2 linked regions of the Kluyveromyces lactis genome follow. The protein of the gene in region 2 purifies or fractionates together with the protein of the main gene of each other region. This does not show direct contact. Links are inferred from orthologs where the notes say so. Each region holds a gene or a part of one and is shown on either strand. Other genes may lie near its edges.

What was found.
Region 1: the proteins of VMA1 (region 2) and RAV2 purify together in Saccharomyces cerevisiae (affinity purification with mass spectrometry; 4 studies listed by BioGRID, with this or other methods). This does not show direct contact. The link is inferred for Kluyveromyces lactis from reciprocal best matches to the Saccharomyces cerevisiae genes VMA1 and RAV2.

The regions. Positions count from the first base shown.
Region 1 is NC_006040.1:1,586,237-1,589,316, forward strand, and holds RAV2 (Rav2p), read right to left. Parts: upstream 1,721-3,080; coding exon 653-1,720; downstream 1-652. Other genes in the region: SPC19 (Spc19p), read left to right, coding at 157-618; ubiquinone biosynthesis protein COQ4, read left to right, coding at 2,098-3,080. UniProt on the Saccharomyces cerevisiae protein: Component of the RAVE complex, which is required for stable assembly of the vacuolar ATPase complex V-ATPase under many conditions. May be required for transport between the early endosome and the late endosome/prevacuolar compartment (PVC).
Region 2 is NC_006042.1:527,648-532,217, forward strand, and holds the start of VMA1 (H(+)-transporting V1 sector ATPase subunit A), read left to right. Parts: upstream 1-1,624; coding exon 1,625-4,570. Other genes in the region: KLLA0_F05379g (uncharacterized protein), read left to right, coding at 246-968. UniProt on the Saccharomyces cerevisiae protein: Catalytic subunit of the V1 complex of vacuolar(H+)-ATPase (V-ATPase), a multisubunit enzyme composed of a peripheral complex (V1) that hydrolyzes ATP and a membrane integral complex (V0) that translocates protons.

The sequences.
Region 1 (3,080 bases), on a different chromosome or scaffold from region 2:
CAATCACAATTATTTTAATTCACCACATAGAAAAGAGGTAAACAAACATTACGCAACATACACATGAAAACACAACACTTCACATAGATCGGCAGGATTGTAATTGGATAACGCACTGTGATAATTTGGCATTGTTATTTGAGCTGATTTGACACAATGGAAGAGGTACTTTCGGAGGGTGTAGATGCTTTAGCAGCATGTGTCGATGACATGGCGAAATGTTTAACCGTATCTAAGGTCACTACAGATAGAAGCACTAAACTTGCTATAAATATGCTACAAACTAAGAGGGTATTCCAGTTGGTATCAGAATATGATGTGCAGAGGGCCAGACTTGATTTGATGGAGGATATAGAACCATTGTTACAAAAACTATATAGTAAACTGGAAAAAGCTCTAACCAAATTGGAAAGGGAGCGGGCCACTCTATCACAAACATTCGAATTGAATAAACTACGATTCAACAATCAAGAAAGTAACCCCATCATAGATAATGTGAAATCGGATCCAGTTGTAATAGTATCCTCGACACATGAAGAATTGGAACGTCTCAAAGACTTAAAGAATCGTAAAGAAGAACTGATACAAAGAATACAGGAATTGCATGAAGAGAGATAAATAAGCATACGCCGACTCTCTATCTATCGCATTGTTAACTTAAATTTTGAATATTTACAAAGTGATTGCTGATTTTGTTTTCAAGCCCGTTCAACTTTGCACTGACACTAATCAATGTAGGATCGCTGGTGGTAATTGAAACTTTCTCGCATTCAGTGACAACTCGCCCGTTAAATGTCACACACCTAGCCAATAGATCGCTTGCTTGCGGAAGAGTGATTCTTTCAGTTGCTGAAAAACTGGATATCAAATTGTTTATCATAGATGTTTGTTCAACTTGCAAGCCTTCTTCCTTAAGGATCTCTGCGATTTTTCCATTTCTGTCTTGCTTCAGCCTGTCTCTGACTTTATCACTGAATGATAACCCAGTTTTCGAATCGATCTCACTCCAGGGTTTTTTAATGACTTTTGTCAAATTCCTAATGTCCAAGCAAATCTCGTTTTTGAATAGCACTAATTCCATATTGACCAAATGATGTGCTGATTCACAAATGTCATGAGATTCAGAGAAGTTGTCGTTTAAGAAGCTGTTGTTATTATGCGGAAAGACCAATTCTCGTGGAGGATTTTGTAATAATGTAATAGATTGTGTAAGTAACTCCAATATTTTCCCAATTTTATTGTGAAAAGTATGAATATCATCAAGTTTCATATCGTGTAATTCGGAAAGTTGCTGTAATTCGTCAAATAAGGACAATACGGATGATAAATTTGTAATTATGGCATTTATTTGAACTAAGGGAAATTGTTTATCAAGGTCCATCTTTAGAACTATTGGTTTACCCCTGCTAAAGTCTGGAAGCTTAATGATAGCCTGAAAATCCACTATAAATCCGGCCTGTCTAGTGATTGTCCCTTTAATCGATGTGCTGTCTGGCGCGGCACCTGATGTGTTAACGGAGACACTATTCCCATTGGTAAGAGGCATTCGAAATTTCTCAGGACTAGATAGTTGGTTTATGCATTTCTCAACATGGTCCATAACGTTAGGTAGCTCAGGCTTTATGATTTCTTTAATCAACCATGTCTGTTGTAACAAAGAGCTCTCCTCATATGTAGGAGCATTTTTATATGCCCCATCATTATATAATTCCGTAGTCATCTCGGATTTATGCAATTGAGAATTAATGTAGCAAAGCTCCCTTAGCGTGTAGATAGCAAGAGCCTTGCTAAGATGGGCGTTTTCCTTTGTCAACCTTTTTACTATTCTTTTGCCTTTTTCGTATGATGATTCTTCTGAATATTTCAAATTTAAACCTTTTCTTGAAGTTGATGCGACTCACCCACATATACTTTAACTAGAGATAAAGGAAGATCATTGAAAATTGTAAAGTGGTTGTAATTGAAATTGCTGGCGTGGATTAGGATCAAGGTTTACACAGATTCTAGATTTGACTCAATTGACGAGTTGTACTCCGGGACACAGCTTTTTATTATTAGGGAAAGTGTGCTATTAAACGCATCAGACGACGACCGCAAATGTTTACTGTAAGTAAGAAATCCTTACAAGCAAGTCGTAACGCTTTCAGTCCATTGAATAATAGCAAGAGAACAATCGTATTTACTGCAATAGCAGCTTTTGGAGACCTATTGATTGGGAAAGATGTTAGACTAGCAGATGCTATGGAGAAAGGGAATCTGCATAATAAAAATGGAGAGTATGAGCATAAGATGGAACAAAGGACTCAAGAAAGGTTAAATGCATTACGAAACACAAGACCGATAGAACCTAATTATGAGGGTCATGTTCCACTTTGGTGGTATGAGCGAATGATGCTCTTCGGTATCAGTGGTTTAAAATCTTATTTCCACCCGGAGAACGGTGAGAACATCGTTCAATTAGGAGAAGCTACTGCTCTACCTTGCTTTCTTGAAAGTTTAAAACGGACAATGTTGTTAGATAAGACTGGTAGAAGGATTCTACAAGACAGACCAAACATCACATCGGAAAGCCTTGACATGGAACGATTGTCAAAGATGGATAAAAATTCAGTTGGCTATACGTACTACAAATGGTTGATGAAAGAGGGGGTCTCTCCAGACACAAGGGCACCAGTTACTTATATCGATGATCCTGTCCATGCTTTCATATTTAAGAGATATAGACAATGCCATGACTTTTATCATGCAATAAATGACCTACCAATCATAATCGAAGGTGAGATTGCAGTTAAAGCATTTGAGGCATCAAACATTGGTGTCCCAATGGCTGCACTTGGTGCTCTATTAGCACCATTGAGATTAAAGAAAGTGCAAAAGGAAAGACTTTACTCCATCTACCTCCCATGGGCAGTCAAAGCAGGGCTGAATTGCAAACCTCTCATCAATGTCTATTGGGAAGAAATCTTGGATAAGGACATAGACGAACTAAGAAGAGAATTAAACGTCACACCACCTCCAGATTTGAGAAAAATTAGAAAGGAAAGAGCGAAACAAAGAAAACAGTTCAAGCTTAAGTATGA
Region 2 (4,570 bases):
TACTTTTACTTCCACAGGGAAGGCTGGGTTCCCTTTGTAGTATGTAATATTCTTCCGTTGAAGGCGGTAGGGTAACTATATATCAGTTCCTGTGTCACACAGATGTCAGCGATTCTTGGATTTAGATATAAACTGAACATGGCTCCTTCTGTGGATTCGAGACTGTATCATTGAAATACATTTCACTTGTTATAAGTGAACGATTACGTTCGGTGGTCTTTCAAATCCCCCAAAGGTTACAAACAATGACGGAGACTTTAGATCTTAGCAATAGTCGGTGGGTATTCGATCAAAGCCTGTTACAAGGTGATGCGCAACATGCAGAAAAATCTCAGGGTCAAAACTTGCACCATTCTGAAAAATCTGTTAGGGAGTTGGTTATTTCTAAACAACATACTCGTGTTTTCCCTGTGGATAACCAATTAATGGGCCGGATGGAGGATCAATTAGTTCGATGGAAACGACCAGCATCCTCGCATCTTGGCACAGTACAAGTAATCGAGGGCACTCATCCATACCAACAGGAACCTATTTCAATGTCACAAACGTGGTCCCAGATAAGAGATGCATTTTCGACAAGAATGCAGAGAAATAGTATCAATGATACACAAGAGGATGAAGAAGAAGATTTAGATGGGCTTGACTTGGGCAATACCGAAATTTGGAATTACAAAGACAAAGCATTTACTACTGAACGTATTGACACCTACCGTTCCAACATTATCGATGAATACAATGCAACAACGTCAATGACTGCAAAAGCCGTACCCGTAACGTTGAAATTACCAGCAAGAACAGATGATATGACGATAAATAGTCAGTACACGTATCACTACCCAATTCCACAGTACTACCTACCACATTCACAACAACAGCAAAACAACAACAATGTAACAAACTCTAGACAAATGACGCAGGCTTCTCAAGATGCATCCTTCTCTTGCTCCAGTTGGTTATGTTTTACTTGAGTGAGATTCGTATAAAACTGACGCGCGTCAAAAAAAAAGACGAACCATGTGATTAACTTTCATAGACAATGAAACAGTTTAGAAAACTGGAAAAAAACGCAAGATTAAAAAGTTCAAAGGAATTTAGGCTAATATTTATAATCAGTAAGTATCGATCTCAGGCACCTTTAAATACAATTGGTAACAGATGGCGATTAATACTAAAAAGATCAAACGGTTCATATTCTTTCACCTTGTTGTATTTCAATTTTTCATCGTTGACTTTTCAAATTCTGAAAAGTTACCCTGATAGAATTGATAAGGGGCAAACTGTGCTGATAACACTAGTATGAAAAAAGATTGAAATTAAGAATTTGAACTTAAAAGGAAACCATTATATGAATGAGCGCGTGGTTTGAGTATTGAAATAAATCCTGTAGAACAACGTTCATTAACTAGTTCATCGATACTGACCTTAAGATAATAATATCCTCGGAACAATTGACATTGAGATTTGTACCTAACATTACGTGGGTATCTTCCTCTATTATTTTTCTTTCTTTCTTTCTTACAGTTAATAACGTTTTCAATTAAGAGTAATTGATTGATTGGTTGATTAATTAGCTAATTTAAAGAAGTTATTAGGGCGTGCAAGTTTAGAACTACAGATATCAAAAATGGCAGGTGCATTGGAAAACGCACGTAAGGAATTGAAAAGAGTAACCCTTGAAGACCATGAGGAGAGTGAATATGGTGCTATTTACTCTGTTTCTGGTCCTGTGGTGATTGCAGAAAACATGATTGGATGTGCCATGTACGAATTGGTTAAAGTTGGTCATGACAACTTGGTGGGTGAAGTCATTCGTATTGATGGTGAAAAGGCTACAATCCAAGTGTATGAAGAAACTACAGGTGTTACTGTTGGTGACCCTGTTTTAAGAACTGGTAAACCATTATCTGTCGAATTGGGTCCAGGTTTGATGGAGACAATTTATGATGGTATTCAAAGACCATTGAAGGCCATTAAGGATATCTCTCAATCTATCTATATTCCAAGAGGTATTGATGCTCCAGCTTTGAGTAGAACTATCAAATGGCAATTTACTCCTGGCAAGTTCAAAGTAGGCGACCATATCTCAGGTGGTGATATTTTCGGTTCCATTTTCGAAAACTCTCTTTTGGATGACCACAAGATCTTGTTGCCACCAAGAGCAAGAGGTACTGTTACATGGATTGCTTCCGCTGGTGAATACACCGTTGATGAAAAGATTCTAGAATTGGAATTTGACGGTGTCAAATACGATTACTCCATGTATCACACATGGCCAGTGCGTGTTCCAAGACCTGTCACCGAAAAGCTCTCTGCTGACTATCCTTTACTCACCGGTCAAAGAGTCTTGGACTCTTTGTTCCCATGTGTTCAAGGTGGTACCACCTGTATTCCAGGTGCTTTTGGTTGTGGTAAGACTGTTATTTCTCAATCATTGTCTAAGTACTCCAACTCTGATGCAATCATTTACGTTGGTTGTTTCTCTAAGGGCACTGAAGTAATGATGGGTGACGGTAAGGATGAATTGATAGAGAACATTCAGGTAGGCGATGAAGTAATGGGTAGAGATGGACTTCCAAGACAAGTTGTTGGCTTACCAAGAGGTCATGATGACATGTACCAAGTTACCGAAAAATCAGAGGACAATGAAACCGCCAAGATTAGTTTCCAATGTAACAGCTCACACAAGCTAGTTCTTGTCACTCCACAAGATATAAGACTAACAGAGTCTAAGGAAAAGGTTACCGTTGCATTCAACAGATTGGCAGACATTTCAGTGGGAAATGGTACTGAATCACGCACTGTTAGACTAGTTGAAAGAGCTGAAAAATCTTTTGCTAATGCTGAAAGTAATCAAGCTATCATAAATGCTGCTGAATTTGTCACTACTATTGACACGACATCCATTGAATGGACTTTGGAGGCCAGGGATATGTTGTTGGTAGACTCTTCCATCCGTGAAGTAACTCAACAGTTGATAAACCCTGTGTTGTTGGAGAAGGAACACTTAGCAGGCGTCTTAAAATCAAACGATTTCCAATCTTCTTTGGCTCCACAATTTTCGTATCTGTTGGGTGCTTTCGTTGGCTCCTCCGGTAAGGACAACTCAGAATATCTTCAACAACTGTCTGCTCAATTCGATAAAAAGATTGTTGCCGAAAAGTCTATCGATGTGCAATCTAATGGGAAGACCGTTGGCACTGCTAGCATTGTTATTTCTCAAGAGCCAGTTCAAGAAAATAAACGCAGAAAGGTCGCTCAAGTCAGTCTTGTCTCCAAGATCGTTCAAGAATCTTTCTCTAGCGGCATCCCATCGTTCATGATGTCCGAAAACATCAATGTTCGTGAAAGTTTCTTGGCAGGTATTGTAGACTCTCAAAACCAAAAGCTAGATGACACAGTCGCTCTAAAAACACTATCAGTCAAGACACATGACGGTATTGCGAGATTGGCGCGTTCTTTAGGTATCCGCGTTTCCGGTAAGAAACAAAACCAAGAATACACATTGACTCTTTCAGGTGATGCTTTGAAGAGTGTTTCAAATTGGACCTCCACTTCGAACATCGAAAAGGTTGATGTAATTCATAAGGCTCAACCTATCTCTTTCGATTTAGAAAAAATTGAGTCTGCTGATTATTTTGGTGTCACTTTAGCTGAAGAATCAGACCACAAATTCTTACTATCAAACATGACTTTGGTTCACAACTGTGGTGAAAGAGGTAACGAAATGGCTGAAGTTTTGATGGAATTCCCTGAATTATTCACAGAAATTAGTGGTAGAAAGGAACCTATCATGAAACGTACCACATTAGTTGCAAACACTTCTAATATGCCTGTCGCTGCTAGAGAGGCCTCCATTTACACTGGTATTACATTGGCTGAATACTTCAGAGATCAAGGTAAGAACGTTTCTATGATTGCCGATTCGTCTTCTAGATGGGCTGAAGCTTTGAGAGAAATTTCAGGTCGTTTAGGTGAAATGCCTGCTGATCAAGGTTTCCCAGCATACTTGGGTGCTAAGTTGGCCTCCTTTTACGAAAGAGCTGGTAAGGCTGTTGCTTTAGGTTCTCCAGACCGTATTGGTTCCGTTTCTATTGTTGCCGCTGTTTCCCCAGCCGGTGGTGATTTCTCCGATCCTGTTACTACATCAACTCTTGGTATCACTCAAGTGTTTTGGGGTTTGGACAAAAAGTTGGCTCAAAGAAAGCATTTCCCATCCATCAATACTTCTGTTTCTTATTCCAAATATACAAATGTCTTGAACAAATACTACGAAAAGAACTATCCAGAATTCCCAGTGTTGAGAGATCGTATGAAGGAAATCCTTTCGAACGCTGAAGAACTTGAACAAGTTGTCCAATTGGTCGGTAAATCTGCTTTATCCGATGGTGATAAGATTACCTTAGATATTGCTTCTTTGATCAAAGAAGATTTCTTACAACAAAATGGTTACTCTACCTACGATGCATTCTGTCCAATTTGGAAGACTTATGATATGATGAAATCATTCATCTCTTACCACGATGAAGCTCAAAAATCTGTATCAAACGGTGCTAACTGGGCAAAGCTATCT